2 linked regions of the Arabidopsis thaliana genome follow. The protein of the gene in region 1 interacts with the protein of each later gene in a pairwise test. Each region holds a gene or a part of one and is shown in the gene's direction. Other genes may lie near its edges. The genes, in order: AT3G11850 and MYB121.

Evidence for each region.
Region 2: the proteins of AT3G11850 (region 1) and MYB121 interact in a two-hybrid assay, tested with the Arabidopsis thaliana proteins (one large-scale study listed by BioGRID).

The regions. Positions count from the first base shown.
Region 1 is NC_003074.8:3,738,220-3,743,570, reverse strand, and holds AT3G11850 (myosin-binding protein (Protein of unknown function, DUF593)), read left to right. Parts: upstream 1-1,817; 5' UTR 1,818-2,226; intron 2,227-2,319; 5' UTR 2,320-2,469; coding exon 2,470-3,834; intron 3,835-3,948; coding exon 3,949-3,995; intron 3,996-4,246; coding exon 4,247-4,349; 3' UTR 4,350-4,818; downstream 4,819-5,351.
Region 2 is NC_003074.8:11,836,507-11,841,045, forward strand, and holds MYB121 (myb domain protein 121), read left to right. Parts: upstream 1-1,856; 5' UTR 1,857-2,060; coding exon 2,061-2,238; intron 2,239-2,897; coding exon 2,898-3,027; intron 3,028-3,284; coding exon 3,285-3,807; 3' UTR 3,808-3,996; downstream 3,997-4,539.

The DNA.
Region 1 (5,351 bases):
TGAATTCGCCTCACCGGCACCACTCCATTCATCCTCCACATAAGCAGCGACCAACTGATCCGCCTGTTTTTGTTCAACTTTCTTCCATCCATGGTGGACATCGGAGTTACATTTAGAGGTTTCAAAGCTATTGTAATCCACATATTCCATCGGATCATTAGTGAGTGTTAATAGGTTTGTGAATCTTTTTTATTCTGTTTTTGTGTTTGTATTTAAATGGAGTTTTAATGAATTAAAATATTACATCGAATATGTTGTTATTCAATTAGGATTTTAAAAAGTTAGTGAAAGTGTGATGTTATTGATTTAAGATTTATAGAAAGAATTTAATATTTTCATAAATCTGAAATTATTGAATTTATTCTTTTATAAAGTCAATTAAAGTTTTGTGTTATTCATTTAAAACAAAAGAATTTATGATTGTTAATAAATTAAAATATAATTTTATTGTTGATTAGTATAGAACATATATAACTAATAATATAATAATTTAATTCATCAACAATCATAGATTTTTTTTGTTTTAATTCAATAACACAAAACTTTTATTGATTTTATAAAATTATGAATCCAATAACTTCATATTTATGAAGACTTTAGATTACTTTTACAAATCTTAAACTAATCAGAAAAATTGATTGAATCACTAAAATTCTATTTAACTTACAAACTAATAACATCCCTTTACTTTCTATAATTTATTAGAGTCATCAAAATTCTTTGTAAAATAAGAATCTGTAATACCCTCTAAACTTTTCTAAAGTTTGTCACTCTTTCCTTGATTTTTCGACAATCTTCTACCCCGGTTTTAAAAGAAGTAAACTAATACCAAAGTAGACTTTTTTTTATCCCAAACTACGAAATTATCACATTGATGAAAAAGACACACCGTTTTATTTTATTTTGTTTTCCGATTGATAATTTAGTTCATTAGTATTTTTTTCAATCTCCTAATCACATGTGACTATTCAATATATAGTTAAAAAAAAATTAAAAACTACAAAACCTCTTGATGAGGTGCAAAACATATACTTTTTGATGCTATTTGAAAAACTACAAAACCTCATTCTAGAAAAAGCTCTTTCTCTAAAAATATTTCTTCTCGGTTGTCGATGTCACGTCGACCAACAAGAATTTCCCCAATGGGTAAATTAACTTTTAAAAAAAAACTCGTCCAATTTTTCTCCTTCACCACAATCTCCTAAAAACTCGTTCGGCTCTTTTGCCACAAAGAAACAAATCAGGGATACAATGAGCTCTAAACTTCATAATTTTTCTTTCGTTTCCATTTCTCATACCTATAATTCTAAAATATATGAAAAAATTATTATAAAATATATTAATATATCAAATTTTGGACTAAATAAAATTTAACCCATGATATAAAACGGGGCATGATCTAGTACTACATTATTTTTAAAAATATGACCATAGTCAATGTATTATAATTACTCAAATCAACACACTCAATATGAAACTACACAAATCCTTTTCTTCATAAATACAATCTGACAGAAGTTCATTAAATCCTAAATTCGTGACTTGTCTTACATTTTGCAACAAATCAACCATATATAAACACAAAAGTACAAATTGCAAATACAAAAAACAATTAAAAGAAAACTTTTTTGCTGAATTCGAACAAGAAAGTTGACTTCACAAAATTTGCTGGTTGTATTGGTCTATTGGATATGGGCCTTAAAAGAACATTTGAAATTATGAACCCGAGATATTTTTTTTGATTTTTGAGGTCATGCCGCCATGTACTTTGTTCGTAGGTTATTGACTTATGACACCTCACTCAATCAAATATCAGCCGTTGATCTTTAGCCAATACCTCATCTTGACGTTCATTCAGGATCGTCTCCTCGTTTATACCAAAAATAGTCTCCCTGACAACCATCATCGGGAACAGGAGACAGAGTCTGACAGACAGAAGAGAGACTCCATGAGAATCCTTCTCCTCCGTTTATTATAGACAAAAAAAAATAAAAATCCAGATGAATAAAACAGATTTTTAGGGTTTCCAAAAATCAAACAATTATCAAAACCTTTTTTTCAATACATACAATTTGAATTCATTCTCTACAATTACGAAAATTCCTTAATACCTTTTTTGTCCTCTTTTTTTTGTTTGTTTACGCGATAGAAAAAACGTTTCTCGTTCTGTTTCTCTGTTTCGTGGACGGGAGACAAAATTCTCTCCAATTTCTGGGTCGCCAAGGGGTAAGTAAGGTTTCATCAATTTGCGTTTTCGGATTTTTGTTTTCTCTCTTGATCCAGATTCTGAAATTGAGTTTTACTGTGTTGTTTCCGCAGAATTGGCTTCAGCTGGATTTTTTTTTTTTTTTTTTCCTGAGAAGCTTCCGATGATTTAGGGGTTAGTGCGATTTAGGTCTCTTCCTGTAATTTTTCGCGATTCTCTGTATAATTTGTGTGGTTGGTGTGAGGAGAATCTTGGAATTGGGAATGGAATCTCCGATCAAATGTTGCGACTGTGGATGCGATTGTTGTTCTTCCTCCCCTGGTTCATGGATTCGATCTGTGAAGAAGAGAAGACACGACGAATTACAGACCGAGAAACGATTCTCGATACCGGAGCTGGACGACCTAGACATGTTCTCTAATCCTAGAGTCCAAATTGAGAACGAATGTGAATTACTACGCGAGACTGTTAGCAATCAACAGCAAACGATTCAGGATTTGTATCATGAGCTTGAGCAAGAGCGTATTGCTTCATCAACTGCTGCAGATGAAACAGTAAAGATGATTCAGACGTTGGAGCGTGAAAAAGCAAAAATCGACTTGGAACTGAAACAGCTTCAGCGTAGTGTTGACGAAACATTGAATTATGAAAACCAAGAGATTGAGGCATTGGAAAATATGGTTTATCAAAGGGATCAGACGATTCAGGCTCTTACGTTTGAAACTCAGGCTTATAAGCACAGAATGATGAGTTTTGGGCTAACCGAAGCAGAAGCTGATGGTGAGAGGAGCTTGCTTAGTCGTAACCCGAGCATGATCGACTTTAGTTCTGAATATGACTGCCCTACACAAGATTACCCTCCTCTTAAATGCAATATTAATGAGAACCAAGACCCTCTTGAGGCTGATATCTATGTTGCAGATGATGAGAACTATCCACCAGCTGATTCTCCTCATGGGAGAGTACATTTAAAGACTTTGGATCGAAGACTCAGCCAGATGGAGACGAATCCTAGCTTTACTCAGTTGAATAGAGGGAGGGATGTTTCAGAGAAGGGGATGGTTGGTGAGAGTCCTAGGCGTCAAAGACATTTTAGGAGGATTTCCCCTACTGGTTCATCAAGTTCACACTTGGGAGCATCTAAAGAACTAAGACCTGATGTTTTTGTTGATTCCCCGAGGTCCCAAAGCTACAGCTCTAAGAAAATGGAAGATGTCTCGTATACAGAGAATAATAATGCTAAAGATGACTTGTCGGAAATAGGAGATGACATGAGTGATAGAGTTTATACCATTGATTCTGTTCATCACAGCAGTGTGGCTCATAGTGGCGGTGTAGCGGAGCAGAAGATTGAGGATGGTGCTTCTGATGGCAATGTTGTTTTCCCGAGAGAACACACGGATCTTGGTGATCCTGATATAACGAAACTCTACATGAGGCTTCAAGCACTGGAGGCTGACAGGGAATCAATGAAACATGCGCTTCTCTCTATGAGGACTGAAAAGGCTCAAATGGTACTGTTGAAAGAAATTGCTCAACACTTGTCAAAGGAAGTTGTCCCTCAACGGAGATTGCCTCTACGTAAAGCATCTATTGCTGGGCCATTGACTTTTACGCCGGTCTTTAAGGTGATTGTCATGTTTCTGTATGATCACAAAGCAACTTCGTCTAAAGCTGTCTCTTGTTTTCTACTGTTCTCACTCTAACTTGTTTCTGTAATTTTGATTCTTATTCCTCTGCAGTGGATCACATCTTTTGTTTCCTGGAAAAGAAAGGCTCGTCGAAGCAAGTAAGTAACCTGTAACAAATTTTGGTTACTCTATGCTTCACATACCTATCACAAGAGAAAGATCTGTGAATCTCTTTGAGAAATAACTATTGTCATCCATTTTCAAACCGGTGCTCTCTTGCACTATAATCTCGTCCTTAATATTCGAAAAACAAGGCAATGTTTCACATGATAGTTTAGAAATTACTGTTGGATTTTAGGGAGCTGCTTATGAAACTTATGCTGGTCTCTGTTCCAATGCAAATACGCAGATACATGTATGGGATGTCAGGAAACAACATCGGCTTGCAAATGCTTCTAGAAAAAGTCCCTCGGTCAAGGAAATGGCGATGTCTTAGGAGCACGCAAGTGTGAAACAGATCCAATCCTTTCAAGCCAACAAAATCACTCTCCTGACTCTAGATTCGAAGCACATAATGTCAAATACTGATGTGGGATTGGCGAGGTAACATTTGTCGGCCTTTCTTCAACTTGAATTGGATTCTCGTTCTTGGGTTGCAGAGAAAATGTATTTGCTGTGCGATTTTCAATCTGTTTTCCTCAATATTTTAACTGTTGTATAAAAGAATTGGGTTGAAGAATGATATAACTCAGAGGCTATACAATCTTTGTATGGTTTCTAACATGAATTGTTTCATTCATGGATTCTTTTTTCTTTTTTTTATCAATATTTTGGAGATGGATTCATCACATAAATAAGTGAAGGAAAATGTAAAATGTTCCCGTTTCAAACCTCATTTCCCACACTTGGGAAAAGGAAAATAAAAATATTTGTTGTCAGCATTCCTCCTATATATTTGTTGACCTTAAAATGAAACAAAAGAAATTTTCCATGAAATATAATAGAATGTTCTGTTTGCTGACCATGAGTTGAATAGAGTTAACAAAAAGAAAAAAAAGTTTGTAATCGACCATGGACATATTTTGGAAGGATCAAAATTCAGACCATGTTCTAAAGCCGAGTTGCTGCTGAGAGTAAAAAACAATATATAGATTTAACATATTTGCTCTAGTCTCTTGTTCAAAAAAAGATGGTCTAGAAATCTTCGATATTGAATTTTTCGATTACCAAAAATAAAAATAATTAGGAGGGGACTTACATAAAATTGTTATTTTATTCAGTATACGTGAAGAGTGATTTCATTTCATTGACAAATAAACAGACACGTGTCATGTTTTGATAGTGAATATTTCTTTGTCTAAAAAACATATGTTAGTGGAATTCAAAAGCGAAGACCAATTAAGTAAACGGAGCCGCCATTTCTTACTTCCACCACATGTTTCTCTTCTTCTTCATCTTTACTATTATTCTAGATCATCATTATATGAATATATATACGTACACAAAATCATACG
Region 2 (4,539 bases), 8.1 Mb from region 1:
AAAATTAATAATGCAGTAAAAACTGACTGAGAGAAGTAAGAACTTGCGTAACTCCGGTATTCATCCTCATACCACTGCGTTTAAACTTTAAACCATTTCAACCTTTGTATGGCTGATGTCAGCAGACACCTTCTCTTTTTCAATATGAATATGTATTGGTTTGGTTACTTATCTTAACTTAATTATAGTAAGACATGCGCAACAAATTTAGAGTGCTTTTGTTTCCCCCAAATAATTGATGTGCATAAATGGTTAAATAGCAAAAATGTTGTCCATACGTGTAGAGTCTTTGTCAGAATAGAACTTTTATATTTTTCTCTTTAATAGCAAAAATTATCATACTTCTAACGTCATTAAAGATTTTGTCTTTGATGCTTATCTGATAGCATCGACCAAAAACTCTACTTCGAAATGTAAAGTGAAAGATTTCTTATTAAACAAATTCTTAAATACAAATTACCAAAACCACAAGAAAGATTTAAAAAAAAAGTATATAAGAAACAAAGAAAAGAGTCATAATTCTGATAATTTAACATGTCTTCAAAGATCATTTTTAAATTTCATTTCCAAAGTTGAAATGTTCAGGGTTAAGAGAACTTTTTTCTCTATCTTATGTAAGAAATATTAATTAACATTTTTTTCCCTATTATATGATTTTATAGTTATCTGTTTTCTATGAATAATATTATTATTTAACATATTTGGTAATTATTTAAATTGGTAATAAAGAAGTTTTTTCTAATCAATCTCTATCGTAATGGATTGATGAGATCTAATTTTAAAAAAATCCTAATGAGGAATAGGTCCTCTCTCCACCTATAAATATATATATTTAAACCATCATAAGAATATAAAAAACACAACACGTTAAAAACTAAGTTTATAGACAAGGTAAGAGAAATCTGCTAACCTAAAAATTCAGGTAATCCGTTCACAAAAAAACTATCTGCAACAATGAATAGAGGTAATCTTATAAACCTCCTAATGAATCTATTATGTGATTAACTTAAATATTTAAAAATTTTAGGGGTTCATGTAAAGTTACACGTACATCTTAATCTAGTTTTCAAGTACGAATCTTGAACGTAAAAATGTTTAAACATTCAGATTAAAAAAAGACAGAAGATCGTATAATCTTTGGTTACTTGGTTTAACTAATTCAAGAAAACCCTAACATTGCCATAAATGTTGATACGTACAGCCGAAAGGCCACATGGATACAAGGTGAGTCATCGTTACTTTATTGTATGGAAGGCATTTTCTGATTTGTTTATTGCCCGATTTAGTATACACTTCATTAGGCCCATTAGTTAGAGCATAATTATATTTTTATATTTGTAAACTAATCACAAATTACTCTTAAAGCATGCCTCTTTTTTCGTTATTTTATTACACAGATGTTGAGATTCTAGTGGCTCATAAGTTCCTTTCGAGAATTTAAAGACAACCCACTAATATATTTTATAATATATATTTTCCGCCGAGAACTGAATCCAGAACAAAGTTATGCCTCTGTGATGATGTCTATAAGAAACTTTTTAAGTGTCCAAAGACAAAACCTTGTTGTTCAAGAATATTTTCTTTTTGGTGATGACGAATAAATTCATGGTACGGATCTATGTATAGATTTGGTAATAGGGTACTTGTAGAATCCTAATTGGGTAAGAAAATAATGAGCTGGTTCTCATTATGGTATCGACACTTGTTCGAAGAATAGTGGCTTCTCAAGATTGTTTCCGTGATTGAGGAAGTCTAGCTAGTAAAAAAAAATTATGATTGACGAGGCTAATGATAATGCATATGCTACATGGTTAACTATAGAGTCTATAAGTACATGAAATAAAATATTTAGAATCAAAACACCCACAAAAAGTAAGAAGTGACTGTTGTCAAGCATATAATAGAGATCCACATACTATTTATATCCACACGCACATGTTCAAGCAGAGACAAAGATATAGAAAACATAAACATAGAAGAGCAAATTAAGCAACAGTCTTACACAGACAGAAGTTGTAGAATTGATTTGTGAGTGAAAAACTATTTAAGACTGAACAAGTATGCTTGATTGGGGAGTTCAAGGTCATCATCAAAAGCATGATCATGATATTTATCAACAACAACATCAACAACAAGGATGTAGGAAGGGACCATGGACACTTGAAGAAGACAAGCTTCTCGCAGAGTATGTTACTTCGCATGGTGAAGGAAGATGGAGCACTGTAGCTAAGTGTGCAGGTAACTATTTTGATTCAATCATGGCTTCTAAAAACACATAAGTTTTACTAATCTAATCTTTATAATCTCGTAGACATATTAGTAAGCGAATCACCAAATTATACCAAAGATCTTGATCTTCTTTCTGTTTGAGTCTTTTTTTCAATGAAAGTAAGATTTAATTATAATAGTTATATATACATCTATATAATTAAATAACACATGCTTTTATGACGATTAATATAGATAAGTGTGAGATCATATAAGTGTATATGGGGTATAGTTGACCTGATTAAGCTCTTTCATTCTTTTTCTTTGTCTCTTTTTTATTTATTTATAATCTAGAAGCAGTCTCAAACTTTCACAAACAGAAAGAGGACAATGTCATGGTGGAAAGGTTTTACGGTTTATTGTTTTTCGAATAATCAAAAGATGATCTTTTATGATTCCTTGTTTTCTGTTTTCAGGAGTTGACTTTCATAAGTTTTGGGAACATTTTTACATATATTATACCCTTTTTATTCGAGCATTTTCGTCGAGATAATGTTAAAATTTAAGAGATTCATACTCATATATTATATAGATAAAGATCATCAAGTTGCATTATTTTTTTTATATCCATGTTATATGTCAAACCCATTTATAGTGCTCCATTTCCTTTCATGGAATTTAAAAATTAGGGTTGAATAGAAGTGGTAAAAGCTGTAGACTAAGGTGGGTGAACTACTTGAGGCCAGGGCTTAAGAGAGGACAAATCACTCCTCAAGAAGAAGGAATCATCCTTGAACTTCATTCCCTTTGGGGTAACAAGTAAGCTACTCTTTTTTTTCTTCTTGATATTCTCTAGTAAATGGTAAGCTCAAACCTACATAATAGATTGATATTATATATCAATGAAAGAAAGAGATACAATTACTCCAAAGTTTAACTAAAATATCATAGTCTAAACTATTCTTCATGAGTCTCAACTCTTTATTATCATACATTTGTACTAGTGTATACCTATGTTTAGTTTTTGTAATCAATCCTTTCATGAGAACTTACATATTTTCACAAAATATATATAGGTGGTCTACAATCGCAAGATATTTACCAGGACGAACCGATAATGAAATAAAAAACTACTGGAGAACACATTACAAGAAAAACCAAAAATCTTCTTCGAAGCAAGACAAAGTAAAAAAATCTCTATCCCGGAAACAACAACAAGTGGATCTTAAACCACAACCACAAGCACAATCTGAGAATCATCAGTCTCAGCTAGTGTCCCAAGATCACATGAATATCGACAACGATCATAACATAGCTTCATCCTTGTATTACCCGACAAGTGTCTTCGATGACAAATTATATATGCCTCAAAGTGTAGCAACAACCTCATCCGACCACTCTATGATCGATGAAGGTCACTTGTGGGGCAGCTTGTGGAATCTAGACGAGGATGATCCGCATAGCTTTGGTGGTGGCTCAGGACAGGGAACAGCTGCGGATATTGATGAGAAGTTTCCAGACAGCGGAATTGAGGCCCCGTCGTGTGGCTCAGGGGATTATAGTTATACTGGAGTTTACATGGGAGGCTATATTTTTTGATTAGTATGCTCGAAGATATCAAGAAGTTGTGTCTTCGTAGGTTGAGAAAAAAATTAAAACACCTCATTGTGTAATTTATAACTTTAGTAGTGATCTAAAACTAGAGTGGAGTGAGGCTAATAAGATGGTTTGGAATATATATGTCTATTCTACCATTGTTTGTATAAGTTTTATGGAATAAATAGTTTCAAAATAATCTTTCCATTTTTTTATTCCATGAACCCTTAATAGTGGTAGACATCATGCATTGTACTATTTCAGTGAAACCTTGACTCTGTCACATATAATTCATGTTGAGTAATCTTTCAAGTTAACTTAAGGCCTACAATAGCTTTAATAAGTCGGTTAAAGTATAAGATAAGGCTTAAGGAAATATATTAGTTTTAAGAGTTATCTAAACCTAATTGTAATAGGATTAGCAAAGTTGTGTCTTCTATAAATACATCTTTTGGTTAAGTTGTAACCATAAGAGAAGTGATAGAGCTTGTTTAGTTTTGAGAGAGTTTCTAAAGATCAAAAACGAGAGTAATTCTTTATATAAGTTTGTTCGAATCTTCTTTGTTTGGTATCAGAGCGGTTTCGATCAACTTGAAGGAGTCAAGTATGGAATCTTGAAGAACACAGCAGAGACGTAATCGAGCCATGGACGACATCGACTAACCACCACAACAGAAGGATCTTGTCCAGACAGCCATCTAATGCCCTATGCTAACCTTGCCAAACTATACAGTT